7 linked regions of the Cricetulus griseus genome follow. The protein of the gene in region 4 interacts with the protein of the main gene of each other region in a pairwise test. Links are inferred from orthologs where the notes say so. Each region holds a gene or a part of one and is shown on either strand. Other genes may lie near its edges. The genes, in order: Bfsp2, Ndel1, Ppfia1, Mbip, Epb41l3, Rap1gds1 and Mcm7.

Region 1 (3,901 bases), on a different chromosome or scaffold from region 4:
TCGCTGATTCCCTGGAGGGTAAAGGCCGTGTCTAATTAGTCTTATGTCCCCAAAGCTCTTGGTATAGCTCCTGGAACATGGTGAGTTCTTGTGAGTGATATATAGAAGCATGCTAACGCTCGCGCGCGCGCGCGCGCGCGCACACACACACACACACACACACACACACACTCACACTCACACAGGGTCCAACAATGCTTTGTAGTTAGAATGTTGAAGGAGATGTCATATCTCAATAGAGTTCAGTCCCACCCAGACCGAAAGGTGGAGCTTAATTCAGTCTACTTAGGAGCTTGTGTCAGGTGGTTTCAGGATGCTGTGCATACCTAAACTGACAGATGCAAATCTCTTACAGAAAAGTGATATAATATGCACATATAACTGACCCAATCCTCCTGCATATTTCCTTAAATCTCAGTGAAGTATCTCTAGATGACTTTTATGTGATACAATGTACAGCTCTATAGATGACCGGGCTGTTGTTTAGGGAACAATGATAAGAAATAAAGGCTGCGCAAATGCAGAGCAGGTGCAATGTTTTTCCTGAATATTTCCAGTCCAAAGTTGATTGAATCCACAGATGGAGAAACCATGGATACAGAGGGCTGACTGTAATTATTTTAATTACTAATAATTAGTAGTTTCCAAGCACCTGCTTGCAAACCACAGTGAGTCTGAGCTTACTAGGTGTTTGAGGTTGAGGCAAGGATCCTGGAGCTTATACCCAATTGCAGGATTACTGTCAGGAAAAGAGGGATTGATCAGGACAAAGGAGACAGGGCAGGGATGATGCTAAGCAAGGAAGTAGCCTCTCTGAAAACTAGCTCCTGCCTGATCCTATGGAGAGCTCTGTACAGCTGTTTCCACTGTGAAGTTAGCAGGCTGGGCTTTCAAAAACATCAGTCTGTCACTGTCTGGGGCAGGGGCATGGCCTGACTTCTTGGATCAGGAGTCCTCTGTTTGGCTGATGGCAATTGTCTGAAGAAACGGGGCAGCTGAGACAGGGCAGCTGCAAGTGTTAGCGGCCGACTGGCATTCTCAGCAGTGGCAGGCAAGGGGTATTTCTACAGGCCCTGCTGTGTCCACCATACTTGTTAGGTCTGAGTCAGTATCTGGTAATCCTCAGAGGTCAGAAGACACTTCAGGCGCCAAACCACACCCTGTGAGAAGGAAGCCCTTTGTGAAGTATGAACTGTGAAACTTCAGACTGACAGTTGAGAGTTAAACATAAAACCGTCAAGGCCTTTTTTTTTTTTTTTTTTTTTTTTTTTTTTTTTTTTTTTTTTTTTTGGCACACTCACCAGAGCTCGTAAAGATTCCATCTCAGCCTGGAGACTTTGGACTTGGCATGAAGCGTCGTGTAACTCTACGCTGAGGGCAGCGGCCAGCTTTTCTTCTTGGGTCTGAGATACATGGGCCACTTCTGTCTGTTGCTGTAAAGAGTCAGGTCTTAGGGTGAGCGGGATGAGTTAAAATCCTGAACCCACCCTTTCTCCTTGGCCCCTTCTAAACTGACTCTCTGCCACACTAAAAACATACACCTTTTTATAAACCTGCTAACCAATTCATATACCAAAAACTGTTTTGAACCTTTGATGCCTACAACTAAAATAACATTCAAAAGATGTACTAAAGGCTTAGCTCAGTGGTAAATACTTGCTTAGTATGCATGTGAACCTGGGTTCGATCTGAGCACACACTCTCTCCTCTCTCTCCCTCCTTTCCTCCCTATGGTCTAATCACACCGTTTTCCTGTTTCTAGTTTCTTATATCTCCTTTCAGAAATATTTCATGCACTGATTAATGGCATGGAGCGTGTCTGAGATCTGTAAGGGTATTTTTGCTGTTATGTGAACATTGCAGAAATGTGCCCACACAAGTGAAGGTGGCTGTGATATCACTAGGCAATGAAATCTCACAGGCCCAATGTTGCATATTTAATCTGTCATTGACCATGACATCCGTTTTTAGTGCACAGTTGCATTTGTAAATACATAGTAGTTACTGTCTTCTCTTGTTTGCTACAGTACTTCCTATATGTTAGAAACCGGTTTCTGCTGGGTGATTGTAGTCTTCGAGCAGCTACATAGCATTGCCTTGATTGGAGGTACTATGATTCATTTAGAAATTCCCTATTGGTGGACACTTCAATTGTGTCCAGATTTTCCCTATTTCAAAAAATAACCCTTGATGCTTCATTTTTCCATCCAAGAGGGCATCTCCGAGGGATACATACTTTAGACAAACTATGTATGTAGGTAAAGACAGGATCTTCTCATGTACCCCTGAACTCTCAGTCTTCCTGCTTCAGCCTCCAAGTGGTGAGATGACACACCTGCCCGGAACTTAGGATACTCACAAATTATCCTTTGGAGATTTGTAACTCTTTCAACACTGGGAGACAGTACCAGGTCCCCACACTGTCCTCACACAAGGGGTTACATTTATTCATTTTATTTTTATGTGTGTTTTTCTGGCATATAAGTATGAGTACCATGTGCATGCTTGATGCCCGTGGAGGTCAGAAGACAGTATTGAATCCCCTGAAAATGGAGTTACCAATGGCTGTGAACCAACATGTACCTGGGAAATGTGCCTGGGTCCTCTGCAAGAGCAACAAGTGCTCTTAACTGCCAAGCCATCTCTCCTGCCACAAGTTTTCTATCTGGATCTCTACAGCTGACAGTCCTTCTCTCCTTTAAAATTAAAAAAAAAAATCCCTTTATATATTTGTATGTGGGGGGGCATATTTGTGTGAGTGGACACCTGCTGTGGCTCATTTGGGTATGTGTTTCATGGCTCATGTGATGGTCAGAGGACATTCTACAGGAGCCAGTTTTCCTTCTACCATGTGGGCTCCAGGGACTGAACTCAGGTCACCAGGCTTGGTGGCAAGTGCCTTCACCTGCTGGGCCATCTCTCTGGCCCCAGTCCCCTTTACGTTGTACAAACCAGTACAGATGCAATTGTGACTATAAGGGGGCAGTCTGTGTTCTGAACCTCTTTTTCTGGAGGGCGATAGGTGGGCTCTGATTCCTCCTAATGCATTCTGGGGAGCAGGTCCCCTGCTGGTGGATGATAAAATGAGGCCACCCTCTTTTTTCTTTTCTTTCTTTCTTTTTTTTTTTCTTTTTCAGTATCTTCTGATGTGGTTGTCTCTGAGCCAATGCTGTAAGCAGAAAGGTTGAGGAAGCCTCTGTTTTCTCTGCAGATTCCTACCTTCTTGAAAGGGTCATTTGGAGCCATGTATGAACATTTACAGAGGCATGCACAGAATCTTCCAACCTAATTGTCTGCCTAAGAAGCCCCCACCAAGATGCTCCCATCAGTAGCAGGAACACTAATCTTTGGGAGACTCTATACCATGTGAGCTCTGGGGATTGGACTTGGAGGGGTAAAGTTTGACAGAAGTACCACCTGCTGAGTCACCCCTATCGTTTTTATATATAAATGGGGCTGTAGCTCAAAGGGAAGGCACTTGCCTAGAATGTACAAAGTCTTGGGTTTGATCTTCGCTAGCACAAAAAAGTAATAACTACCAAGAAATGAGTTTGCAAAATCCACTATGTGTTGAATACAACAACAGCTACTGCTATTACTATGAGTAATTAATATGCATTAGGCTCTTATTCTATGCCATGGATAACTCTAAGTCCATTATCTCACGGTCTCTTTACAACTTTGTGAAATTACATGTCATTATTATCCTCAGTTGATACAAGGAAATGGAGCCTAAGCAATTTGCTCATGATCATGTGACCTCTGAGAGTCTGAAGCAGCTGTATACCCACGACATGCTTTCAGCCCTGTTAATGCAGCTGTCTCTGCCAGCCTGTTGACTTAAGACCTTTGATACTTGGAGGTGCCTCCCTCAGATTTTCTTGGATCACCTCATTTTAAT
Region 2 (4,412 bases), on a different chromosome or scaffold from region 4:
CCTTCTCAAAAACAAAACAAAATACACCCCCCAAAAAAAAAAGCCAAAAGGATATGTCCACACATGATGCTGCAAGCCTGAAAGTGTGTGAAGGAGTGAAAGCCAGCAACAGTCAGGAAGCTGAAAGCTAGATGCCAACCAGAGCAAGTTGTGCCATGCCTCTGAACTCCAGAAAGGCTCCTGAGTTAGGGTTTCTAGCTGCTTCAGAACGCAAGAGGAATGGGAAAACAGGAAGATGTATTGGAGGTAGTGCATTTACAGGGCATTTAGAGCAGTGGTTCTCCACCTTCCTAATGCCCAGATCCTTTAATACAGTTCCTCATGCTGTGATGACCCCAAACCATAAAACTATTTCCCTTACTACTTCATGACTCTAATTTTGCTGTGATTAATCATAATATAAATGTTTGTATGTTCTGATGGCCTTAGGCGACCCCTGCAAAAGGGTCATGACCCACAGGTTGAGAACCACCAATTTAGATACAGACTTCACAGTCTAGGTAGCAGGCAAACCAAAGCATTTGCCTCACCCCTGCCCAACAGCAGAAGGTGAGAAGACCCAGAAGAAGTTAGATTACTTCACCACAAAAAAGGAGGTTCAGGGAGAAAGGACACCTCCAAGGCCATGATGTCTCAGCCCCTGCCTTGGGTGACCCCGCAAAATGCTGGCAACCTCTCTTACACCCTCCATGCAGGTGGCCAGAGAATCTTTTTTTTTTTTTTTTTTTTTTTTTTTTTTTTAAGAAGAAAGGATTTACTTGGGCCTCACAGTTGGAGGGTACAGTCCATGCTGGCGAGGAAGGGATGGCGGCAGCAGCATGAGGCAGCTGAAGGGAATTCTTCAGTGGGTCTCCTGACCACACAGCCTCATCCAGATATGAGCACACTACACACAGGCCAGGCCCAATAGCTGGAAAGTACACACACACACACACACACACACACACACACACGATTACTAAATAAAGAAAAACCTGAGGCAACTATCAATTCCAGGAGCAAAAAGTAAAACAAAAAAGGAACATTATCACCATTATCTGTGTTGTAACTAAAAAAAAAAAAAAAAAAAAAGGCAGCCCAAGAGAGAAAGATGAGATGCCACAGAGTTCAATGGAGGGAAAGGGACCATTAAAGGGAAAGGGGTGGGGAAACCAGCCTCTGGGGAGCAAGCAAAGAGAAGCAGAAAGGGAGAGAGAGAAAGAGAGGAGGATGGGAGATAGACAGGGTCCTTTTTAAGGGAACATAGTGAATATGCACAGGTGGTGCTCTTAGTAGCTGCAGCTGAGGGTGTGTCTGGTCAGGACCCCAAGGGCAGGCCAGTACGGATTCCTGAATACTAACAATCACCATCCTCACAGTTGAGAGTACAGCAGCAACGTAAACAAATTATCTTATTGGGAGGATGGAAACAATAATATGGGTAGCTGATAAATGACTTCTGTACCCTTGCCTTTTATTAACAGAAAACTAAAAAATAGCCACATAGGCCAGATGTGGTAGCACATGCCTTTAATCCCAGCACAGAGACAGAGGAATATCCGTGAGTTTGAGATCAGCCTGGTCTACATAGCAAGTTCCAGACCATCCAGGACTATGCAGTGAAGCTGTGTCTAAGAAAGGAAGGAGGGAAGGAAGGAAGGAAGGAAGGAAAGAAGGAAGGAAGGAAGGAAGGAAGGAAGGAAGGAAGGAAGGAGCAGAAAAGGAAAGGAGAGAAGGAGGGAAGTTACAGGACAGTAAATAGAATTCAACATTAAAAATTGTACTGAAAGTATGTCAATTGGGTGTGATGGCTCATGCCTATACTCCTAGCTCTGGTGTGTGTAGCCAGGAAAACAGGAGTTCAAGGTCATCCTCAGCTATACAGTGAGTTCCAGCTGGCCTATGCTACATAAAAATCTGTCTCTGAAACAAAATGTGTATGTTGAAGCCAGGTGAGAGTGCTGAAAGTGGGTGCGGCGGTGCACACCTAGAAACCTTGCACTCAGAAGTCAGAGGCGGGAAAATCGAGACAGATTCAAGGCCAACCTGTTCTGCATAGAAAATTCTAGATCAAACAAGACTTTATAGACTTGAGACCCTGAATCAAATGGGGGCTGGGGACCTGGAGATGGCTAAATGGTTAAGAGCACTTGCTGATCTTGCAGAGAACTGGCTTTGGTTCCCAGAATCCACATGGAGGATCGATCACACTGTCTTTTAACTCCAGTTACAGGGTGTCTGGCTTCTAAGGGCACCCACAGTTGTGTGCACATACCCACGCACAGACATACACATAAAAATAGATAAATTTTAAGTTTATATGTCAAAGTGCTCATATTTAGGTGTTTACTTATGCAAAGATTTTCAGTGTACTGAACTGTACTGTTTTGATATTTACCAAGTAAAACATTATCATGAAAAAGTATGTCTAGTTTTCTTTAGAAAATGAAATAAAGATAGCCCCAAGCCTTGAAAAATACAACCTTACAATCTAGGAAACATTTTCACAACCATTTTTCTATAAGCTCTACACAAATCTAAACAAAATAAAGATACTTTGCCATCTGTAGACAAGAAAACAGATTGAAAGAAGCAACTATCCCATAAGCAGTTAAGCAGTTTAGAAGTACACAATATCTCAACACAAGCCCCTCACTTGTTCAGTCCAGCATGACACCAGAGCCTCACCCTGATTGTGTCTTCATCAGCTCCAGGTAAACCTGTCTGAACCCAAAGAGCTGCCCAGCCCCTGAAGAAATGCTAGCAGGCAGCCCAGGAAACAGAAACCAAATCAAGGTAATCAGAATCCAGAAGATGGAAGATACTGTGCTTTCAGAAAAATTCACTGTAGCAAACTCCCAGTGTCACCTGCCACTAGGGACATAATGACTTTACAAACTAACTTCAGCCTTTGACCACCATATGGGCAGAAAGAATCCTCAGACTCCAGAAGCCTCCACTCTGCTCTCTCTCGGGGTAGGCCCAGGCTCCCACCCATTCGCTTCCCCTCACCCCAACTCCCCAAAGTCACATCACAAGGCACCTGGTCGCAGGTCCTCAGCTGATCTGGTTCACAGCAGCACGTGGGGGCCACCCGGGGACCAGCTGGAACAAAACAGAAGTCAACAGGAAGAATGAGACTCAATCATGCCTAACAAGAGAGACTCTGGGACAGGAAGTGGGTTTGAGCCAGGAAGGCTGGGGCCTGCTGTCAAGAAGTGAGGTAACCCTGCCAGCCTTGTTACTCAGCTAGAGTTGAGCAAGACCTCAGAGCTTGGGAAAGGGAGTAAAATGCCAGTCATAGCTTCGCAGTCAGAGCTTCAGGGCTCCCCAGCTCTACTGCATGTGTGCGAGCAGCTGGTTGTCTTCTCCCCCACTTTCTTGTCTCTGTCCCTGAATTTGGGAGGGGAGAGTCAACTGAAGGAACGGCTGTCAGTGCTTTTATCTCTATGCCAGTGCAATGCTGAGCCCGGTGAAGCACATAGTATACTATGTGAGAGCTCAAATTAGGTAGGGCTGGGTGTGGCTCAATGGTAGACCACTTGCCTAACCTGTGTAGGGCCCTGGGTTCTGTGCTCACTACTGAAAATCAAAGCAAACCACAGAGAGAGGAGAGGAGAGGAGACAATCTTTAAAGTCAGGTAGCTTAGACTTTGCATTGCTAAGTCTCATGTTCCTCCCTCCCTCCCATGAATTGCAGGTAATACCAGTACCGACGCCTGGTGTTGTGACTTAAATGGGATAATGTGTATAACTGGCACCATATAAGTCCCAAGATCCAGTGAGTCCCTTGGGCTGTCAGTATTGTCCCTTCTCTGCCTTTCCAAGGCTGGTCCATTCTCTAAGCTTTTATCGGATCACGTGGGCCCATCCACGTCACTTGACTCCACAGTGACTCCGTGCCAATTAGTCTTACGAAATAGAACAGGAACCACTGATAAGAGTGGGCTCTGATAACATAGTCAAGTTACTGGCTGGTTATGTTTAGCCTATAAATGTCCATCTAATGAAAAACAAACAATGCCCTATCAGCAGTTAAGGACACAAAACAAGCCGCTTCACTGAAAAGTCCTTTCCCATGAGGGTGTCTTACTTCCCAAAGTTACCCAAGGAAAGCAGGAGCTGTGCATATTCGCCTCTCTGTGCCTAGGAGGAGCCAGCAAGTACCGGAAGTCAGTCTATACAAATCCGTGGATCGTGTCCATCCGATGGAAACATTGCCCCTGTTTAAAGCTGTTTTTGGTCAACCCAGCCCAGGCCTACTGCATGAGAACCGGCCCCAATATAACATGGTTCCACAGACAGGTAGTCAGACTCTAGAATTACACAGAGAGCAATTTATTGTAGGACTTGCTAAGGGAAGTGTAGTCTTGAGTGGCAGTAAAACAGATGATAGCCCACAACCTGGGTCAGAGAGAGGAGTGCACTTATGG
Region 3 (3,141 bases), on a different chromosome or scaffold from region 4:
GGAGTAAGTCCTGACTGTGGCAGAGTCCAGCCTCTGTGCTCCGGACACACTACCTGTTTCCACAGCCATGGAAGGAAGCGTGCAAACACATCATGCAGTTAGTGTTAAACATCACACAAGGGGACAAAAAAGATATTACACACCTGACAAGACTTCCCAAGTGATAGGAGGATAGCCTGCTGTGGGAAGGGGCCAGTCAAGATCACCAAGGTGGTGGTCAGGAGGCTACTTTTCAGGGCCCAGGAACTGGCAGCTAACTCAGAAACAGCAATGGGCAAGCAACACAAACACAACATCAGTCATCCATGTACATGAGTGACAACTATGAAAGAAACCACCATGTTTCTCTTGAGACTACACCACGAGTCTTTTGCCAGAATATTGCACCTCCAAGAAGCCAGAGGTATATGTACCCCAGCCCCAAGAAACTCCTAAGGCAGACGGCTCCATGAAAGAGCAGGATGACCAAGACAGTGGCTTCTCTTAGGAAACCAATATTCAGACTCAGTTTCCATTAGAAACCATGGAAACTGCTGAACTGATGATTATTATTTAACAAATTGCCAGCACGGCTTAAGATGGGCCTGTGTACAGAGAGGAGGCTAAGTTCTCATAGCCACATCCTCAGAGCCACTGGGACAGCTGACTTAAGGGGAAATGCTTGCCATGTACACTGCATCTATCTCACCTTCCCTCCTCAAAAGAAGACCTCAGCACAGCTGGTGGCCATGTGAGAGGAGAGAAAGCCACGTCCACACCCTAGACTCCTACAGCTCTTTCCAGGCTGCCTTTTCTCTAAGCTCCCATTCTTAAAGCATTAGTGCTTGACTAAGAAGTATGGTTCAGAACAAGGAAAGCCTGTATGCGCCCATTTAGCCAGAGCCAGGCTGGCATACTGGCTCTCATGAAGTTGCTGACTGGACCTTCCCCTGTAAGCACAATACTGAACCATGGCCAAACCAGCCAGAGCTTTCTACCTTATGTGCTTTCTAGGAGTCCAGCCCAGCAAAGCTTTGCTCATGTCCCTGTCTCTGGTTTGTGCAGTGAGAGCAAGAATCCCAGCAGACCAGCAGCTAACCCACCACCTGCACCAGCAAGGAGGTGCACCCTGACTGACAGGGCTCAGGTTTGGCTGCTTCAAGTATACAATTATTGATTATCAAAACTTCCTCAGGAATGCATGGCACAGCCTGAGGACTTGCTCAAGAACAAGCCTGCTCAAGGTCATGTGTCCTCTAGCAGCAAGGTCCTAGGCAAACCTCATCTGACTTTTGTTACCTCCCAGAAGCTTTGGGTCCACTGTGTCAGCTGTGTCTGCCATTTCTGACTGGAACATTTAATAGACCCAACTAGTTCCAGACCATTTCCCCTGTCCTATAACAGGGGCATGTGTGGCTAACAAATAGCAGAAAAAGATGGAAACTGCACTATTTACAATTTACTTGGGCCAGGTGTTGTGGCTTATGTCTATAATTCCTCCAGCATTAGAGAAGCTGAGGCAGGAGGTTTACTGTGAATCTGAAGATGCCCTAGGTTACTACAGTAAGACCCTGTCTCAGGAGCAGGCTCTGTGGTCAGGGCTTTGGCAAAGTGACATACAGCAAGTGCACCTGTGCTGCCTGTCAGGTCTGATCTCACAGTATGGGTTCTACCCCGTCCCCCAAACAGACAGGATTTTCTTAGTTTCTGTTACTTTGGTTAATCTTGAGGAAACAACGTTAGGGGGTTAACTGAACAACAAATACACCTGAGCATGCAGCCTCACTCCAACGCCCCAGGTGCAGCCAGTGTGCACACTTCCCACACGTGGTGGTTGTAGGACCCACCACATACCATCCATTTGAACCTTCTTTGGCTGCATAGAGGGAGATGACATAGAGGAGGTGACCCGGAAGTTGGCAGGCAATGTCTCTGCAGAGCCAGAGGCCAGGCCTCGGATGTCCTTTGGTCTGAACTTCTTTCTCCATGAAGGTGCTCTCCTGAAGCTTTTATCATCATCCTGGCAAACCAAGGAGACAAGTGCCAACTGACAGTAAAAGTGGGCACCCAGCCAGGTCTGTGCTCTTCAGATGTTGCTGGACTCTGGCTTGTATGTAGCTAACCTTCCTGTTGACAGCACAACTGCCTGCCTAGTCCAGCTCTGCAGCAGAAAAGGACTGTGGAGACACTCCTCTGGCCACAGATGGAGAACTGAGGCCAGTCCTGGGCTGTGGCCCTTTTCATGCCTCACTGGTCATTCAAAAACCACCTCACACATGTCCTAGAATAGAAGTGGAGGAGACAAACTTTGTCCCCTGGAGAAGGGGAAAGGGTCACCATCCCCTGAGCAAATTAAGAATACGGGAAGAGGGGGGAGGAAGCTACAAAAGTGAGAAGGGAAGAAAAAGAAGGATGCAGAGGTCATGAGGAAGCAGAAATTTTGAGTCAGGTGTAGATTAGAAGAAAGGACATATGACAGGTAGGATTTTAGTTGGGGGAGTGGTAGAGGAGGAAGGGAGGGAGAAGGGAACTGGGATTGTCATGTAATTCAATCTTGTTTGTAATTCAAATTAAAAACAAACAAACAAACAAACAGCCACCTCACAAATGGGATGTCCAGACTAGGACCCAGGCAACAAAACCTCTTCAGAGACAGCTTCTGCTCTCTTTATCAAACTAGAGTTCTGTTCAAGGCCCAACAACAATAATCCTTACATGTGATGTCGTGGGGTTTGAGAGGGAAGAAATAACAGTTTTGAACAACATAATTCTCAGACACATCTTTCCCCAAAACACAGAGGCTCTGGGTTGGGACAGAATGACCAGTGATTCCCAGAATACAAGACACAGACACTGCTTCTGGGCTTCATCCAGTTTTATGACTTGACAACCATTTATGAGACATCAAAATCAACAGGAAGCCAGGCATATTGGGTACACTTGCAACCCCAGTTCTTCGAAGACACAATGCTGCAAGTTCAAGGTCACCTTTAGCTATATAGTAAGACAAGAGCCTTTCTCAAAACAAAAAAACAAAAAAAACCTTTAAGTTTTATTAAAACCATTCTTGCTAGGTGGTGGTGAGCACACCTTTAATTCCAGCACTCAGGGGGCAGAGGGGCAGAGGTGGGTGGATCTCGATGAGTTTGAGGACAGCAAAAG
Region 4 (4,635 bases):
TTGATAGATAAATAAAATGGCCATTAGCTATTCTTATATTAGGGGTTCAAGAAATCAAGCAAGGGGCAGGGTGTGGTGCTGCATGCTTTTATTCCCAGCACTTGGGAGGCAGAGGCAGGTGGATCTCTGAGTCTGAGGTCAACCTGGTCTAGACAGAAGGTTCCAGGACAGTGATGACTACAGGGAGGGAGGGAAGAAGAGAGTGAAGGAGAGAGACAAGGAGGGAGAGAGAGAGGGGAGAGGGAGGAAGGAAGGAGGGAGGGAGGGAAGGAGGGAGGCAGGGAGAGAGGAGGAGAGGGAGGGGAGGCAGGCAGGGAGGGAGGGAGACAGTTCAGTGGTTAAGAATGCAACTGTTCTTGTAGAGGACTGAAGTGTGAGACTCAACACCAATGCCTGGCTAGCTGTTCATATCCCCTGCTTCTAATCTCTTTGGGCACCTACACACACACACACACACACACACACACACACACACACAACTAAAAAAATTGTGAAACTAAAAGCTTGGGTTTCAAAATCAGTTATGACAAAGAAAAGAATGGGCAGTACCTTAATCACTCTCAAAATGTGTAATAAAAGTCCTCTATTGCCTAAAAAATCCAAAGATCATTACTTGGTATAGAACAAGGACTCTTAGATTCCACATTACAATTATCCCCCATTAACAAGTGAATCAGAGACAAAAATGTGCTAACATTACAACAAATTGTGAATTTCTTTTAGTTATAAGGACAAGTGACTGGAATGAGAGGGTTGCTTGATTTGAGTTTCAATCTCTGTCACCAAACAGGTGTTCTACCGGCTTCAGATCTTACTGCTAGCAAGGACACAGACAAGCTTTCTTGCTATGTCTGATGATCCCAGACATCTTTGGAAATAACTGAGTAAAAGGCTCTGTAGAGACAGGTCAAAGGAGTGCTTTCATTTTTACTATCCTTATCCCGGTGTCCCTTGGTTCCTTATTTCTTCCTTCATTCAGCTTCTTCTCAACTCTATAGAATACACTTTAGGTCCATACCTCTACTTCCTGTATACTAGCCCTGGCTGTCCTGCAACATGGTCAGTAGACCAAGCTTATCTCTTAAGCTTGTTTTAAAATTTTAACAGAATTCTACATTATAAAATTATAACTCTTTCGTTATAATAAAGCTATCTAATAATACCCGGCAAGTGTCGATTTAGTTTTCTATCTCAATTTCGACTAATATGAAATTAGTTGGTTTAAAGTTCTATTGGATTTATTTGAAACAATTTTAGGATTGAGTGTCCATTGAGTGTCCACTGAGAAACTGTTGCATTAGAAACTTGACAAACTATTTTACAGTTATAGTCATCAATGTCGTTTCCTGACAAAGGAGGCATAATGTAGGCTTTTCAGTTTTTCTTACATTCTTCGCGTCAAACAACCCTGTAGAGATGAAAATGTTCTATCCAGTTATGATCATCCTGGGTATGAATTTTCCAGTATTCAGACACGTGAGCCCCGTTCCATCGCTGACCCTCAACCTTGTCCCAACTCCAAGTCGCCATGTTAACATTTTAAATTTTAATAGAGGGACTCAATTTCTAACACTTAACAGTAAGGCTCTTCCGGCACTCACGGGGAGCGTCTAAGAGCCAAGGTAGACTTCTAAGCCATAGCCACCCACGCAAAACATCACCAAACAGAGGGTCCGCCTGCGCTACACAGAACCTCCGAGTTCAGACGCCTTGCTCTTGATTGGTCTCGGTGCCTGTCTGTCACATAGAGAGAGTGGGGCCTACCCTCACATCCAAATAAGACGCGGTAGTTTTACGTCATCTCAGCGCGACGGAATCCGCGCGGGAGGGGAGGGGGCGAGCCGTCTTGGCCGCGCTTGGGGGCTGCTGCGAAGGTGTCATGGCTGCTGCTGCGGAGCCCAGTGCCTCAAGCTGCAGCGAGAGGAACCTGGAGCGAAGCTCCAGCCCCCTTCTCACCCGCGAGGTGCTCTGCGAGCTCTTTCGTTCCCTGCACACCCTGACTGGGCAGGTAAGTGAAGGTGCGGCGGGGGTGGGGAGCATCCCGGTCCTCTCTCCGGAGTCCTCCCTCGTCGCGGAGTCCTCCCGCATCGCGTCTGCGGCTAGGATGCCGAGGCCGCGGCCGCCGGGACCGGGAGGAGCGGGAGCCCAGTTGCCTGGGGCCGGGAGCGGCCGGCTGCACACTCGGTGACCACGCGTGAGTACCGAGGGCGAGAGGAAACACGGGTCCTGGCGCCGAACTCTTGCAGAAAATCAATGCATGAGAGATGGCAGGGTTAAGGAGGCTCCTGGAGCTGACTGTGGTTTTTCCTCCCCTGTTTTAATTCGTCGGTTAGTATGGCCTGAAACTTTTCCTACCTCCATCTCCACTCTTTAGGGGGTGATTTACTCTGGGTTTTTATTTGTTTCTCATCATTTATTTGCATCTGTCATACCCTTTGAAACGGTGCGGGGGGCTGTAAGAATTTCTAAAATATAACTAACTTGTAATGTGCCTAGATTTTAGTGTAAATTGTTGGATGATTTGAATGTATGACCAGCTCTACCGTCTTTACTAGTGTCGTGTGACTATTAACTAATCGCTCTTACAGAAATGCCATAGTAAAACTGGATTTTAAAAAGGAGGTTCCTTCACTTTATTAGATAAAGCCATTCATGATATAATGAAGCTTATTTTTAATAAGGAGCAAAAGTATGTTTGCTTGCTTTTAAAAATATTTTATGTCAAACTGTTTCCTAGTTTGATTGGGGGCTGGTCTAGTGCATGTGGTACCTCTGACAATAGGGCATTTACCTGATTTGTGAGAATTATTTTTAAAACCCTTAGATGGATGAATAATTGATCTTGTAAAAAGTTATTTTAGTAAAAATTTTAAAACCTTAGTACGTTTATTTTGCCTGGCAAACTACTTTCATTTGTACATTCAGTTCGGTGTTATGAGGCAGTTAATAGTGGTCTTCTAAAATTAAAACTTTAAAATCAATTGTTTAATGAGCATTAGTAAATTTTTTCCCAAGTCTTAAAGACTTTGTTTAAATTAACATTTCAGTGATAATATTCCAGATCTTTAAATAGTTCAAAAGTCAAAGAACTTTTTGGCATGGATTTGGAACTTAAAGACTTAATCATTAATATTCTAATGTCCAGATGAGAAAAATATTCTCAGCCTTTGTGTTTAGAAGTTGCAAAAATAATGTACATTGATAAATGATTTGAACATCTAAAGTATTCTGCATATTGATTTTTTCAAAGTTATATAAATTTATACCAAAGGTTCAAATGGAAAAAACGATTCAATCTTAACTTATGCCACCTGCCAACAAATGTAACATAGTTAAAGGGACCTTTATACAAGTGTCAATATAAGATTTTTTTTAAATCAATTAAATGCTGTTTTAGTATTATTGTGTATTTTGAGATTATGATTTAAGCCATACACACATGTAAGTTGCCCCTAGGCAACTTGTGTCCTTTTGCAACAAATTAAAAGGATTTTTAAGATGTAAATTGTAATTATTAGTTCATTGTAAATATCATTGAATTATTAGTGCTTTTCAAAAGAAAGTATAAAACTGAATTGTAAAAAGTATTTTTTTCTCCAAATGCAAAATACACTTACATTAACCTTTTTTCTTTCCTCTCATTGGCCCATGTTATCAAGCTAAAGATTTGTTAGCTTGTTTTTTTTTTTTTTTTTTTTTGTATTAGTTTCTACTGAACATTCATAACTGATTAATCTAGTGTATTAATAGAAAAATTTGAATGTCAAGAGCTATGGGGTAAAATGCATAAAGGAATTTGCTGAATGAAAAATTGGATGTATTTGGGGGTCATTTTTGAATTATGACATTATTGTTTGATTTTTCATGGAAGACCAACTATCTTGAGTTGCCTTTGAAGACTTACATAATTCTGCTGAATTGACATAGAATATTATCCAGCCATTAAGATTTCTTTTCTATAGTTATTTTCTTTAAAGAATGTGATGCTTTCCTCAGGTTTAAAGATTACTTGTTTTTTTTATTCTTCAAGCCATTTAAATTTGCCATAGTCAACTGTATGTCTCTTGGAGAACTGTAAACACATGCTGATGGATTGCTTTCATACACATTATTAAATACAGTAATCTTATTAATCTTAATGTCAAATCTTAACTTAGTTGTAAGCTTATCTTTGCCAGTATAGTCTATGTAAAATTTCATATTTCTTTATGTCTGTCAAATAAGGACTTGAAATGGTTCTGGTCTCAGCAGTAAATGTTTGTATCCATTGTACACGAAAGTGCTTACTTTGGGAACTTGGGATTTCTTTGGTTCCGTAGACAGTGATTCACGTTTTGGTTTTTTATTTTTAACAACTCATTAGATTGATAGTTGAATTCATGAAACGTGTATCTTTACTTTGTGGAAAATATGACTAGTTGCCAATAAATTATTCTTGCAAAATACAGTTAACTTCCTTCCACTATGCGGTATGTACTTATACAATGTACTTATACAATAGGTGTCCTTAGAAAAGTTTATAGGGATTCCTTCATACTCAGTCAGTGATTACAGGTGGAGCTTCTCCTCTCCCACTAAAGTTTTGACTGATTTTGATATTAATTTTATATTCAGGTTCTTGGTATTTTCTAGGTG
Region 5 (4,384 bases), on a different chromosome or scaffold from region 4:
TGGTTGTACTTCAATGTATGTATTCTAAATACTGATTCAGGAGGAATCCAAGTTAGCTGCTTAGGTTAAAATAACTAAATAAAAAAAATGATGGAATGGCCAATTTGAAAAGCCAAGGTAATTGAGAAAGTAAACTTCAACAAGTCAATAAACTAAAGAAAACTCATTTTGACAACTCAGTCCTACTATTTTGACTGTATTAAAGCATCAAAATGGTCAATGCAAGAAATCTATAAAACATCATTAATCTGGCCTTGACATAGTTTAGGGAGAAGTACAGTAATCCTGAAATTATGAGCCATGATATATCTTAATTAATACATTATAATTTATATATGATCCCAACATATTTAAATTGTCTCGTTACTGGAAAAGTCAACTGAAGCTACTTTTAACTTAAATTTTGCTGTGAATCACCGTTTTTCTATATACTGCAAGAGATGAGACTGTTTGCCCACCACTAAAAGTATCTGTATGAAAACAAACTTTCTGGCTTAGTTAAACATCAACTGCAAATGATGTCGTTAGGCAACCATCGTTCAAGGACAGATCTTTCTGGAACACATGAAACCGGTATCTACCACCGTGGCTTTTAGAAGCCACGTGTGGAAAAGCAGACCAAGTGTCTCAGGTGAACTGCCAATTAGAGTCATGTGATGCATGGCTGTCAATCATTTTAGCAAATATGTGGTGATCTCTTTCTTGCACAAATAAAGCCTGTCTGGGGGTCAGAGAATGGAGCTTGCCACTAGCTAACCATGGAGGCCTGGAGGTCTGTACAGACAGACAGGAAGTGATGCAGCTGGGCAGAAACAGGATATAACAGGGAGAAACAGGAACTCGCTCTCTTCTCTGCTGAGACACTTAGGAGGTGAGGTGTGCTGTGACTTGCTCCTTCTCTCTGATCTCTCAGCATTTCCCTCTATCTCTGACTCCGGCTTTTTATTATATAGACCAATTGAGAGCTCCATTTACACAAATCTTCCACTCCACGCAATCCTCCTCATTGCTCTGACGTGTAGGTACTACAAACCTCAGTTATAAATGAAGAGCCACAGGACCAGGGGGCTAGGAAACTTCCCAAAAGGTCATAAAATTAAAATCCAGCCACATTTTAATCATCATCCTATGACCAAATAGAAGACCTTCAGAGAGAATCGTTGTTGTTAACATTTTGTAAAGGTGAACGTGAGGACCAAAGGCCAGAAAGAGTCTTCCAAAGCAGACCAATGTTGCCGTGAGACAGGATTTACTCAGTTGTCTGTCCTGTGCAACCAGGCACATTTCCCTCTGCAGATTCAGTATCATATCCATTGTTGGTGTCAAACATTTGACTATGGAAGACAAAGTACAGTCATGGCCCATGTAACACCACACAGACCACATATATGACGGTGGCCTCTTAAGACATGAGGCTGGATTGGTTAGAAGGGCTTCGGGGAAAGTTGGGCAGGGAAGTTAGGGGCCAGAAGTGAATGATTCATTGCACATATGTATGAAATTCTCAAGAATAAAGAAAAATCTGTGTAAACACATAATTCAACTGCTTCGTGATACAGTTGCCATTGTGAAATTCAAAACACTACACAGCTCAGGTGTCTGTGATGGTCTGTATTATCAGACACACAAAAGTACAGCCGAGACACTTATGTATATAGCACATCATAGCTGATCATAATAAATTGTTATATTATTGGCTTGTGGGTTTACTATAATACACTTTTTAAACCATATTACAGTGTGGTGTTCCCGCTTATAAAAATGTTTACTACGGAACACAGTAAGCTGTTATGACAGCTGCAGTACACACCGCAGGTTTGCCAAGTCTCTTGACTGCATGGTTTCCTTCATTCTTTAAATTTATTTATTATACACACTTATTTATGTGCATGAGTGCTTTGCCTTCATGGATGTATATGCAGTACATGGGTGCCTGGTGCCTGCAGAAGTCAGGAAAAGGATTACCATCCCCTGGAACTGTTCCAGAGGGTGTGAGCAACGGCTTGCATTCTGGGAACCGAACCCAGGTGTTCTGCAAGAGCAGCCAGTGCTCTGAATCTGTCCAGCCCCATTCATGCTACCTAAAAACCGGAACTTGCAAATGTCATGTGACCACAGTAACATACCCCGCCTCATAAACAAGTGTTCAGGGTCGTAACGTGCTGTAATGGAGTTTTCTGCCCAAGGCTAACTTTATAACCATTCACTCAACATGTGCTAAAATTTCTGACTATGCAAACCCTTTGGAACACGAGGTCAGTCGCTCCTCTGGCTCCAGATCCCTTTATCATGCACAAGAAAGCCGTCTAAAGCACCAGGGTTTGAAGTTTCCAGACTATACTGGCTCATCTGGTCATCATCGTACTTTATTCTTTTGATTTTATCTACATATTTATACTTATTGATCTTTATTTTCTTGATAGTAGTGGGGATGGAACCAAACCTCCATAGGCTAAATAGGTAGCTCCACTGCTGTGTTCCAACTCACAAAGGGCAGAAGTAATCGCTTCCCACATCCCCGAACATGCATAAGGAACAGCAATGACCCTACAAATGTATACCAGGGGAGGAGTTCCGCCACAAATAAAGAGTCGCTGAAAGTATATGACCATGCTTGGGTCAGAATAATGGCTGGGAAAAACAGCGAGAGGCATAGTGGGGCTGCCAGCTGTTGTCTGCCCTTATGGTAAACTCAGATCTAGGCAGAATCGTCTGTCAGTAGTTCAGCTGAGTGTTAACAGCTTTAATCAAAGGCAGGAGGTACCAGTCAAGGCTGTGGGGTGCCCCTGACTGAAAGCCTTCAACAGTGACACCACTGACCCTTTGGGTGAGAGGGCAAAAGCAGGTGACCTTCAGAGTTGCACTTAGGGCTGGGAGGAAGCAGCACAGCTCAGCCAGGTCCCCTGACTGACCCTCCCCAGCGATGTTCCAGGCTCACCTCCCTCTTCACCGGGGTGCTATGTGCAGCAGCTGCAGGGAACTGCTCTAGCGCTGGCGGGTCCTCACTGCTTCCGCTGGCAGGCTCTGGTCCAGGCTGTGCCCCTGGCTGTCCCTGAGGCCCTGCTGCCTCCTGGGGCTCAGCCTCCTGGTCTGGCTTGGATTCTGAGTCTGATCCTGATTCGGTCGTCATGGTTGATTGTTCTGCAAGCAGAAAGAGAGGCAAGGACCTGTCAGTAGCTGTGATTATCTTCCAGGAGATCTAGTATGAAAGGGAGGAGGAGGGAGAGGGGCGCCCCGGCCAAGCACAGTCCTACACTGCACACCAGAGAGGCGCTGTGTAGAGAATGGTGCTCACAGTGCTCACAGTGGCTCAAAGCAGACGTGTAACACAGTGAGGTCATCTGAGAGTAGGAACCTCACTTAAGACAATGTCTTCATAACACTAGGCTACAGGCAAGTCTGAAGGGTATATTCTGAATTGGTATATTCTGAATTAGTGACTGATGGAGGAGGGTATGGCCCATTGTGGGTGGGGCCATCCCTGGGCTGCTGGTCCTGGGTTCTGTAAGAAAGCAGGCTGAGCAAGCCATGAGGAGCAAGCCAATAAGTGGCTCCCCTCCATGCCCTGTGCACCAGCTCCTGCCTCCAGGTTCCTGCCTTGTTTGAGTTCCTGTCCTGACTTCCTTCAGTGATGAACAGTGATGTGGAAATGTAAGCCAAAGAAACCCTTTCACCCCCAACCTGCTTTTGGTCATGGTGTTTCATAGCAATTAAAACCCTAAGTGGGACAAACACACACTAGAGATTAATCTGTCATAATCAACAGGGTTTCTTCATAATAGATGGTGGCCACAAGTGAAATTTTAAAATCATTGCTAATTAGGGTAGCGGATGAGGAGTATGTGTTTGCTGAGTATGTATATTCTAAGACCTGTGAAGGATGACTTTCAAGATTAGATATCCCACAGGCTTCTCAACTCTGCACCAAGGACTCTCCCACCCCCAAATCTACGGATTTTTCTAGCAATAGCAAATGTCTTTCTTACTGGTTTTCACCCAGTTCTGCTATTTCCTTTTGAACTGAAATATACAAATGCAGCAAGCGTCACACCGTCAGCATCTGTCCTGTGATTGAAGGGCAGCTTGTATCTCCCCTCCCTCCCACATCTTTCCTGGCTCCCTCCTGCCTGTGAACACTGAAGGATACCTCAGTCTCACATCTCACAAGAAATTCAAGCAAAGACCTTCCTGAGTAATAGGCTGCCCCACCCTAAAAATACCACCCAAAACTACCACCTTCTAACAGAGTGCTAAAGCAGACCAGCATTTTGTGCCTCAGTTTCCACGGGGGCCATATGAGAAGGCTGAACATGTTCAAACCCAAATAATAATTCCTCAGTCACTTTTGCCTCTCGCTCGCAGAAATGCTCCGTGTCTTTAATAA
Region 6 (4,607 bases), on a different chromosome or scaffold from region 4:
TAAGCAAAGATTCTTTGTGTCATTTGCAGAGTTCTTCATGTTAAAATAAAAATGATTTTATGTTACTGTTTGAGACAGGATAACTTTTCTTTTTAATCCAGCTAGGCAGCCCAGGCTGGCTTCAAACATGGCTTGACTCTCCTGCCTCAGCCTTTCCCCCAATGTGGTGGGATTATAGACACGTGCTATTACACCTGCTACTTAGACATTAATTACTATACAGTTATTTGTGGATCAGATAGGTCCTAAGATTGTGGAAACCTGAAGTATGGCTGTCTTACTCATCTTTCTCCCCCCACAGTACACTTCATTGGGTTGATTTTCAATTTTGGATTATAGTAACATATACACATAAACTAACAGCTGTCTGCAAGGCTAGGTAGAAAACTGCCTTTGTTTCTGATGGAGAAATGTCACTGCCATAAAAATATCCTTTAAGGGTTCCACTTGGGACTCAAACATGTCCAAGGCCCTGGCTCAATCCCCAGGACCACAAAAATGAAACAGACTATCTTTAAAATAGATATACCTTATTTATTTCTTTAAAAGACAGAGTAAAAAGTAATTTCCCTACCATTAACTAGTGTACCTTAGGAGTTGTTATAACTTCAATGGCTCAGATAAGGCCTTACAACTGGACTTTTCTGCTCCAGTGTCATCTATACCTCCGAGTCTACCAATCCATGTATTCAGGGCCTACATTTTCAAGTCGAAGAGCAAGAAGTAAATGACAGTATTGAGAATAATTTGATGAAATTTTACTCAGCACCTACTATGTGAAAAGTACTAGAAGAGATGCAAAAATTAAGACATAAAATTCATCTTCTTAAATTCAAGACTAAATGTACAAAAGATATAAATAACCCCATTAGAGACTATGTAAGTGCTAAGCAAGAAAGAAAGAAAGAAAGAAAGAAAGAAAGAAAGAAAGAAAACTCTAACAAGGTACCCCAAGTGCTAGGAGGAGGGGGCAGAAAAGTTTCTGAGAAGCTTCAAAATAAGATGTGTTTCTATTTGGCTTCTTCTCATATCTTTAATTTTAACCAAGCAACACCATTCAAGATTTGCAAGATTACTAAATAACTTAATCTGTTTAGGGCATTTTTATTCCCTAGTTTGCAATGGCCTTTGGATACTGATTGACTATTTTAAGTGCTTAGTTAAAATGAGTTTTAACTGAATCTCACCTTAAAAAAAAACACGTGACTTTCTTTTCTACACTAAACCTATACCTGTAATTCAAACCCTTTGAACAGTGAGATTGTAATCTGTAATCTGGATTAGTATTCATTACAAATGCTATTTCTAGAGAAAGGGACGTATACATGGGACGACCCTGTTTTTACAAAAATTTGTTTCAAGTATCAGTAGTATTCAATTAGAAGAAAACGAGTGAACATAAAATTCAGGGTCTTTTTTTTTTTTCGGTCATACCTCCTCCTCCTCTTCCAAACGTTTTCTTCCTACTGAAGCATCAAAGGTCTGACTCAAAGCTCCAGGCATTTGCTCTTCCGGGAAACTCTAACACATCATTTCTAGATTCAGGTACTTCCTTGAGCATTCAGAATTGCCAGGGCCTTGGCCCTAGCAAGCGTGGAGCACGGTACTGACAGGTGAAAGGACTCGTGGATAACTTGCACCGCAGTGGGGAGAGTCGAGTGGAGAGGGACGCCAAGGCAGCCGAGTTTAAACAGAGGAAATCGAGACAGACGAGAGTGGACGCAAACGGGGGACGCGTGCCGAGTTGTTACTACAAAGGAAACTTTCCGCTCTTAATGACGGGCCGTTTTGAATTCTACACAGGGGAGCGGGATCTGATGGCAACTTCAGGTTCAAACAGATACCGTTCTATCAAACATTTGCCTTCAAACACGCGATCTCCCGGGATGAACTAAAAGCAATGGAACTAGACTCAAGATTGTGCAGCTCTGGGCAGGGGGAGCGGGGAAAGGAATTAGCAGCAGCGTGCGAATTCCGTAAATGGGGTCCAATGGGTCGAGGTGTTAGCTTCCTGCCACCGCGGCCACCGCCGGAGCACCGGAGCCAGCCGTGCACACCCCGGGCGCCCAACACCAACCAATTCAACAGCTAGCGGCTCCCGCCGGCCTCGCGTGGCCCACGGCCGTCCCCTCCCTCTCCTCCCTCCCCGCCGCCGCCACCGCCGCCGCTGTCCCTCTCGCTGCAAGTCCCCTGCTCGCCCTGGCGAACAACTTGCCGGCTCGCCCCGCGCCGGCGCCGGCTGCGGCGAGGCTGGGGGAGAGGTCGCGCCCCCGGGGAGGAAGTTGCGCCGAGTGGCCGGGCTGGCGGTGGGACCGAGCGGGCGGCGGCGGCCTCGCAGCCCCGGGGACGCCCCGCGCGCCCGGCGCCCGGAGCCCGGCAGCCGGCGTGGAGGAGGGGAGGGGAGGCGCGGGGCCGGGCGAACCGGGCGAGCCGGCGGGCTCCGACCCCACCCCGCGCGCGACCCCGCCGGCCCGGGCTCCCCGGGGAGGGCCGCCGCCCGGCACCCCGAGGACCGGGGGAAGCCGGCAACTTTGCACGAGACAAAAAAAAAAAAAAAAAACCAAAAAATGCTCCGGCACCCTGCAGCAAGCAGCACGCTGAGGGGGGAAATGAAAATGTCAGGCGATGACGGCGGGGAGGACTTACCCATGGTCCTCCCACGGAGCGAGGACCGGCAGGGCGAGGCGAAGGGTTCGGGTTCGGGTTCGGGTTCGGGTGCGGGCGGGCGGCGTCCTCCCTCTACCTCCGCGTCTCCCGCAGCCAGGGAGGGACCCGCGGGGGGCGGCCCGGGGAGGAGCAGCGGCTGCAGCGGCTGCGGGGCGGCGCGGCCGCGGCGGGGACGAGCGGCGGGGGGCGGGGCGGGGGCGGGGCGGGGCTGGCGGCGCGCGGCTGGGAACCAGAGAGCGAGCCAGCGAGCGAGCGAGCGAGCGAGCGCCCTCCGGACGCGCGGCCGAGCGCCCCGCCCTCCCCGGCGAGCATGCTCAGTGGGGCCGGCTCTGCCTCCTGCCCACGGCCGGCGAGCCTGAGCGAGCCTGAGCTCGCTGGGGGGCGTGTGTCCGCCGAGCGGAGCCGGGCAGCCAGTTTGGCCGCTGTCCCCTGAAGGGCGGAGGTCAGGCTGAAGTCACCAGGCTGCGGGGGGGACACAGTCCGCCGCCCACTCCCCGGTCCCCCCCACCCCACCCCCGCCACGCCCCAGGGCAGAGTGCGAGCACCGAGCGGCGAGCGTGCAGGACGGGGCAGTGGACGCCCCAGGCGAGCACGTGCGGGGCGGAGGAGCGGGAGGATGCGGATGCCCGCGGGACCGTGTTCCCTCCCCCCCCCCCGAGGGAGCGCGTCAGGCCGCCCCGCAAGGAAAGCTAGCGGGAAAGTGGGTCAAGCGGGACGGCGGCCGCAAGGTCACGGCCTGCCCCCCGGGCGAGCGCGCGCCGAAAGCCCTTTAACGGGGCAGCCGTCGGGCCGGGCGAGCCCTCCGGGGTGTGTCCGCCGCTCTGGCGCTCAGCCGAGCCGGGAGGAAAGACGTGAAGTCAGAAAAATCACAAGTGCAGCTGCGGGCCGGGGTAGCCCGGTGGAGGATGAGCCGCCCGGGGACAGTGACCGAGGTGCTCCCATCGCGGGCACCCTCGCCACCAGGCCACCAGGCACGCGCGTGAGGCTCGGACCCCGGCTGGGCTCCCACTGCATGGAGAGGAGGCCTTGGGAGACCTGCGCTTGTCCCGACCCCCGTGTGGTTATTAGGACCTGGACTCTCTAGGATGAAGATAGCTGAACCCCGGTCTCTTTCCTCAAAAGGGGGTGTTTCTTCATCTGTGACTCCCCCAGACCAGTCTCTAATATTACATACAAAGCTCCAAAGAGCCTTTGGATATGTTAGGGCCTGGGATTTTATGTGATTTTCTGAAGAAAAAAAAAAAAAATTAAAGACAGGTGTGATCAATTTGCAGCCGCTCCAGCATCAAGTGATGTAGAAGTTAAGCACCCCTTTCTTGAAGAAAAACACCCTTATATTTGCCTCAAAATTCATCTTGCAAAAGCTCCCTAGGGCTGTTGTAATGATCACTTCACACGGGATTCGAACAAGGAAATTACTGAAATTCTGTAGGACAGAAGACAAATCAGGGCAGGGCTATATTCGTCTTTTGAGGGCGCGTCTTAACTTCCGGTAATTCTTTGCCTTGTGTAACTCCAGCTTTCACATATTCTCCCCGTGTGCTTACGAGTCCAACTTTATTTATAAGGACGCTGGTCATGTAGTATGGCCCTCAGTGTTTGCAATGACCTCATTTCTAAACAAGGTCACATTCTGATGTGGAGGGCCACAGTGAGGCCTTAAGCCCCCAAGTTCCCTGTGACAAACATACATGTCCCACATCCCACTGCTTTTTTTTTTTTTGTCTCCTTTTCAAACGCTTCCAAAAGACCACCCCAAACCTCTGTGTTGCTTCGCATCTTTGTCGTTTCTTCTTAATATTCGCAAATGTCTTCCAGATTCTCCATTTCAACTTGTTTTAATTTTTCTCTTACTTTCTTTGCTAATTATATATCACAGTAATTTCAGGGTATCTTCTAGCTTTCATTTGCATATATGAGTTGAAATTAGAAAAGCAGCT
Region 7 (2,921 bases), on a different chromosome or scaffold from region 4:
TGCTTTGGGGGGAGGAAGGTAAAATCAGAAAGCCACTCAATTTTTCCACAGTTCCTAGGGAGATGGAAGGTTGGGGCTGAGATGCTAAGGTTTTCCTGGGAGGCCTGTCTCTGCTGTGCTATGGCAAAGAGGTAGGGCTAAGATGGGGGGTCCTCAAGGTATATAGCTCTTAGTTTCGCCTGTGTTCTCTCTAGGTTGGCCCAGCACATCACCTATGTCCACCAGCACAGCCGGCAGCCCCCTGCCCAGTTTGAACCTTTGGACATGAAGCTTATGAGGTAGGGGTAGGGAGTGAACCCAGGTCTCAACTTTGTAGCCTAGCCATACAAGGCAGAGGGCATCATCAGAAGTTTTTTTTCTAGTTTGGGATGATAGAGCAGCAGGCTCTAATCCTAGCTACTGTGGAAACAGGAGATCTTTAGAGGTCTGTTGGGAATGTTGCCATAATTACCCCCTTCCCCATACATAGAAGAACCTTCCTTCCTCACCATCATCCTGACCTAGCGGTGAGGCAGGTACATCTTGATCATGTGTGGTACTGTGGCATAGATATCTCAGTGATCTTCAAGTCTCTAAATTGGTTTCACCTGGTCTTCCCTTTGTGACAAGTTCAGAGGGGTTAGGTCATCCCAGTGCAGGTGTAGTGCAAATTAATTTTCCTGAAAAGTTGCAAATTACTTGAGCACTGGCAGCCCTGTTTTGGAGGAGTCCCTCAGTGATGCCCAAGCAAGTAGCTGTCCACTTCCTGCATAGAATATTAAGTAGGGAATCTATAAAGCACGCCTGTGTTCTGCTTTCCCACAAGCCTTGTTTCCCACAGACGGTACATAGCCATGTGCCGAGAGAGGCAGCCTACCGTGCCTGAATCTCTGGCTGACTACATCACAGCAGCATATGTAGAGATGAGGCGAGAGGCCCGGGCCAGTAAGGATGCCACCTATACTTCTGCCCGGACCCTACTGGCCATTCTTCGACTTTCTACTGCTCTGGTGAGTGCTGTGTCCTGTCAGCTGGAAGGCTGACCCTTGCCTGCCACCTCACCTTAATGGCCCTCAGGCTGCCTCTTCCTCCCTCCCACTAGCCCTGCTGGGGCTAAAGTGCTGACAGTGCAGATAGTGGTCCTCTCTGTGCTACCGCACTGTGGGTACTTGCTGCTCCAGCAGGGCACATACAACACCCATGGAGGGAAAGGCTGCTTGCTACTTAAATCCAAGAGGGGCAGATGGACTTGTTGAATTCCTGATGTCCTAGATATATGGTCTTAGATATCTCCATTCTGTCCTTCCCTCTTGGACCTTAGTCATGGGGGCTCCAAAGTGCTGTTCGTGCAGGTAGTGTAATTACCTGACCTACTGCTGAGCTAGCACTTCCCGAGCCCCCAGGACACAACCTCTCTGACAATGACCCTAGCTGAGCTCCCCAGGCCCCATTTGTCATGATGGGGAACCTAGTGGAGTTCAGAAGGGTCTGGTCTCCCTCACAGGACAGCTGAACACCTACCGGGACTGGCCAGTGTTGAGAGGCGGAGACTTGGGCAATTGCTGGAAGCTGCCCTGGGCATTGCACTTGTCTCGGTCTGACAGTGCCGGCCCAACACTGCAGATTGGGGGAGGGGGCAGGGAGGAGTCCCCATTTTTTTAAGTGGGCAAACATGGCTTGCCACCCTTGAAGCTGGAGCAGTGAAGACCTTTGACTTCATCCCCTTTCTCCCCTCCTATCCCCATCTTTTTCTTGCCTTCCCCCTTAGGCTCGCCTCCGTATGGTGGACATTGTGGAAAAAGAAGATGTAAATGAAGCCATAAGGTTGATGGAGATGTCAAAGGACTCACTTCTAGGTGAAAAGGGACAAACAGCTAGGTGAGTGTCTTAATGAAGATGAAATTGGGGCACTTGACTTTATTGAGCTGGTCATAAGTTTTGTGGCTTCTGCACCCAAACATACAAGTTTGACCTCAGGATTTTGATTCTGATTGCTATTCTGTTTGCTTAGCCCTGCACACTGACATTTTCCATCTATGTGTTTCAGGACCCAGAGGCCAGCAGATGTGATATTTGCCACAGTTCGTGAATTGGTCTCAGGGGGACGAAGTGTCCGGTTTTCTGAGGCTGAGCAGCGCTGCATATCACGTGGTTTCACACCAGCCCAATTCCAGGCAGCTCTGGATGAATATGAGGAGCTAAATGTCTGGCAGGTCAATACTTCTCGGACACGCATCACTTTTGTCTGATGACCAGCTTTGAGGTTCACCCTTTGTCTGACGACCAGCTTTTAAGGCCCTGCTGCGCACCCCATAGCATTTGCTGGATGCCCCAAAGGAACAGATCGAATTTTCCCATACTGCACTTTTTTGTTTGTTAATAAAATGTTTTGACTTTGGGCCTGGCTTCTGTTAAGATAGCATTTTTTGGGGAATGGGCAAACACTACTAATTCCAATGTAAGTTTCTATTCTACCTTGCCACATTTAAGAGCTAGGGTGTGGCAAGGACTTAATAGAGCCTTCTCCCCTGGTATGTATGAAGCACTGAGCCTTACTGTGTGCTAATCAATACAGTGCCAGGATCAGGGCCTAGGGCCCACTTTTTTTTTGAGACAGGGTTTCTCTGTGTAGTTTTGGAGCCTGTCCTGGTACTCGCTCTGGATACCAGGCTGGCCCCAAACTCATAGAGATCTGCCTGCCTCTGCCTCCCGAGTGCTGGGATTAAAGGCATGCACCACCAATGCCCAGCTCCCACTCATTTCTTGAAATATTTCCATTGTAGACATTCTTTTTAATTCCCACCTCTTGAGAGGGTGGTGAAATAGGAGATGGAGGATGGCACAAGAAATGACTTCAGTGGAAGTTTCACAGATGGGCTGAAGTAGAGACTCAAAGAAATTGTTCCTCTTGGTACTTTTCACTTCCATGGGACCAAGGGTTT

Evidence for each region.
Region 1: the proteins of Mbip (region 4) and Bfsp2 interact in binary tests that used the Homo sapiens proteins (3 or more experiments, as listed by UniProt). The two-hybrid records come from large-scale screens. The link is inferred for Cricetulus griseus from reciprocal best matches to the Homo sapiens genes MBIP and BFSP2.
Region 2: the proteins of Mbip (region 4) and Ndel1 interact in binary tests that used the Homo sapiens proteins (3 or more experiments, as listed by UniProt). The two-hybrid records come from large-scale screens. The link is inferred for Cricetulus griseus from reciprocal best matches to the Homo sapiens genes MBIP and NDEL1.
Region 3: the proteins of Mbip (region 4) and Ppfia1 interact in binary tests that used the Homo sapiens proteins (3 or more experiments, as listed by UniProt). The two-hybrid records come from large-scale screens. The link is inferred for Cricetulus griseus from reciprocal best matches to the Homo sapiens genes MBIP and PPFIA1.
Region 5: the proteins of Mbip (region 4) and Epb41l3 interact in a two-hybrid assay, tested with the Homo sapiens proteins (2 studies listed by BioGRID). The two-hybrid records come from large-scale screens. The link is inferred for Cricetulus griseus from reciprocal best matches to the Homo sapiens genes MBIP and EPB41L3.
Region 6: the proteins of Mbip (region 4) and Rap1gds1 interact in binary tests that used the Homo sapiens proteins (3 or more experiments, as listed by UniProt). The two-hybrid records come from large-scale screens. The link is inferred for Cricetulus griseus from reciprocal best matches to the Homo sapiens genes MBIP and RAP1GDS1.
Region 7: the proteins of Mbip (region 4) and Mcm7 interact in binary tests that used the Homo sapiens proteins (3 or more experiments, as listed by UniProt). The two-hybrid records come from large-scale screens. The link is inferred for Cricetulus griseus from reciprocal best matches to the Homo sapiens genes MBIP and MCM7.

What each region holds. Positions count from the first base shown.
Region 1 is NC_048597.1:211,682,594-211,686,494, forward strand, and holds part of Bfsp2 (phakinin), read right to left. Parts: intron 1,434-3,901; coding exon 1,302-1,433; intron 1-1,301.
Region 2 is NC_048600.1:82,758,655-82,763,066, forward strand, and holds the start of Ndel1 (nuclear distribution protein nudE-like 1), read right to left. Parts: upstream 3,154-4,412; 5' UTR 3,023-3,153; intron 1-3,022. UniProt on the Homo sapiens protein: Required for organization of the cellular microtubule array and microtubule anchoring at the centrosome. May regulate microtubule organization at least in part by targeting the microtubule severing protein KATNA1 to the centrosome.
Region 3 is NC_048596.1:56,882,780-56,885,920, reverse strand, and holds part of Ppfia1 (liprin-alpha-1), read right to left. Parts: intron 2,000-3,141; coding exon 1,834-1,999; intron 54-1,833; coding exon 1-53. UniProt on the Homo sapiens protein: May regulate the disassembly of focal adhesions. May localize receptor-like tyrosine phosphatases type 2A at specific sites on the plasma membrane, possibly regulating their interaction with the extracellular environment and their association with substrates.
Region 4 is NC_048598.1:146,084,452-146,089,086, forward strand, and holds the start of Mbip (MAP3K12-binding inhibitory protein 1), read left to right. Parts: upstream 1-1,816; 5' UTR 1,817-1,879; coding exon 1,880-2,008; intron 2,009-4,635. UniProt on the Homo sapiens protein: Inhibits the MAP3K12 activity to induce the activation of the JNK/SAPK pathway. Component of the ATAC complex, a complex with histone acetyltransferase activity on histones H3 and H4.
Region 5 is NC_048595.1:457,934,607-457,938,990, reverse strand, and holds the start of Epb41l3 (band 4.1-like protein 3), read right to left. Parts: upstream 3,131-4,384; coding exon 2,939-3,130; intron 1-2,938. UniProt on the Homo sapiens protein: Tumor suppressor that inhibits cell proliferation and promotes apoptosis. Modulates the activity of protein arginine N-methyltransferases, including PRMT3 and PRMT5.
Region 6 is NW_023276806.1:20,491,136-20,495,742, reverse strand, and holds the start of Rap1gds1 (rap1 GTPase-GDP dissociation stimulator 1), read right to left. Parts: upstream 2,853-4,607; 5' UTR 2,651-2,852; coding exon 2,647-2,650; intron 1-2,646. UniProt on the Homo sapiens protein: Acts as a GEF (guanine nucleotide exchange factor) for the Rho family of small GTP-binding proteins (G proteins) that stimulates the dissociation of GDP to enable subsequent binding of GTP.
Region 7 is NC_048597.1:116,885,337-116,888,257, forward strand, and holds the end of Mcm7 (DNA replication licensing factor MCM7), read left to right. Parts: intron 1-194; coding exon 195-278; intron 279-820; coding exon 821-989; intron 990-1,083; exon of another isoform or gene 1,084-1,164; intron 1,165-1,302; exon of another isoform or gene 1,303-1,383; intron 1,384-1,500; exon of another isoform or gene 1,501-1,599; intron 1,600-1,747; coding exon 1,748-1,857; intron 1,858-2,026; coding exon 2,027-2,228; 3' UTR 2,229-2,378; downstream 2,379-2,921. UniProt on the Homo sapiens protein: Acts as a component of the MCM2-7 complex (MCM complex) which is the replicative helicase essential for 'once per cell cycle' DNA replication initiation and elongation in eukaryotic cells.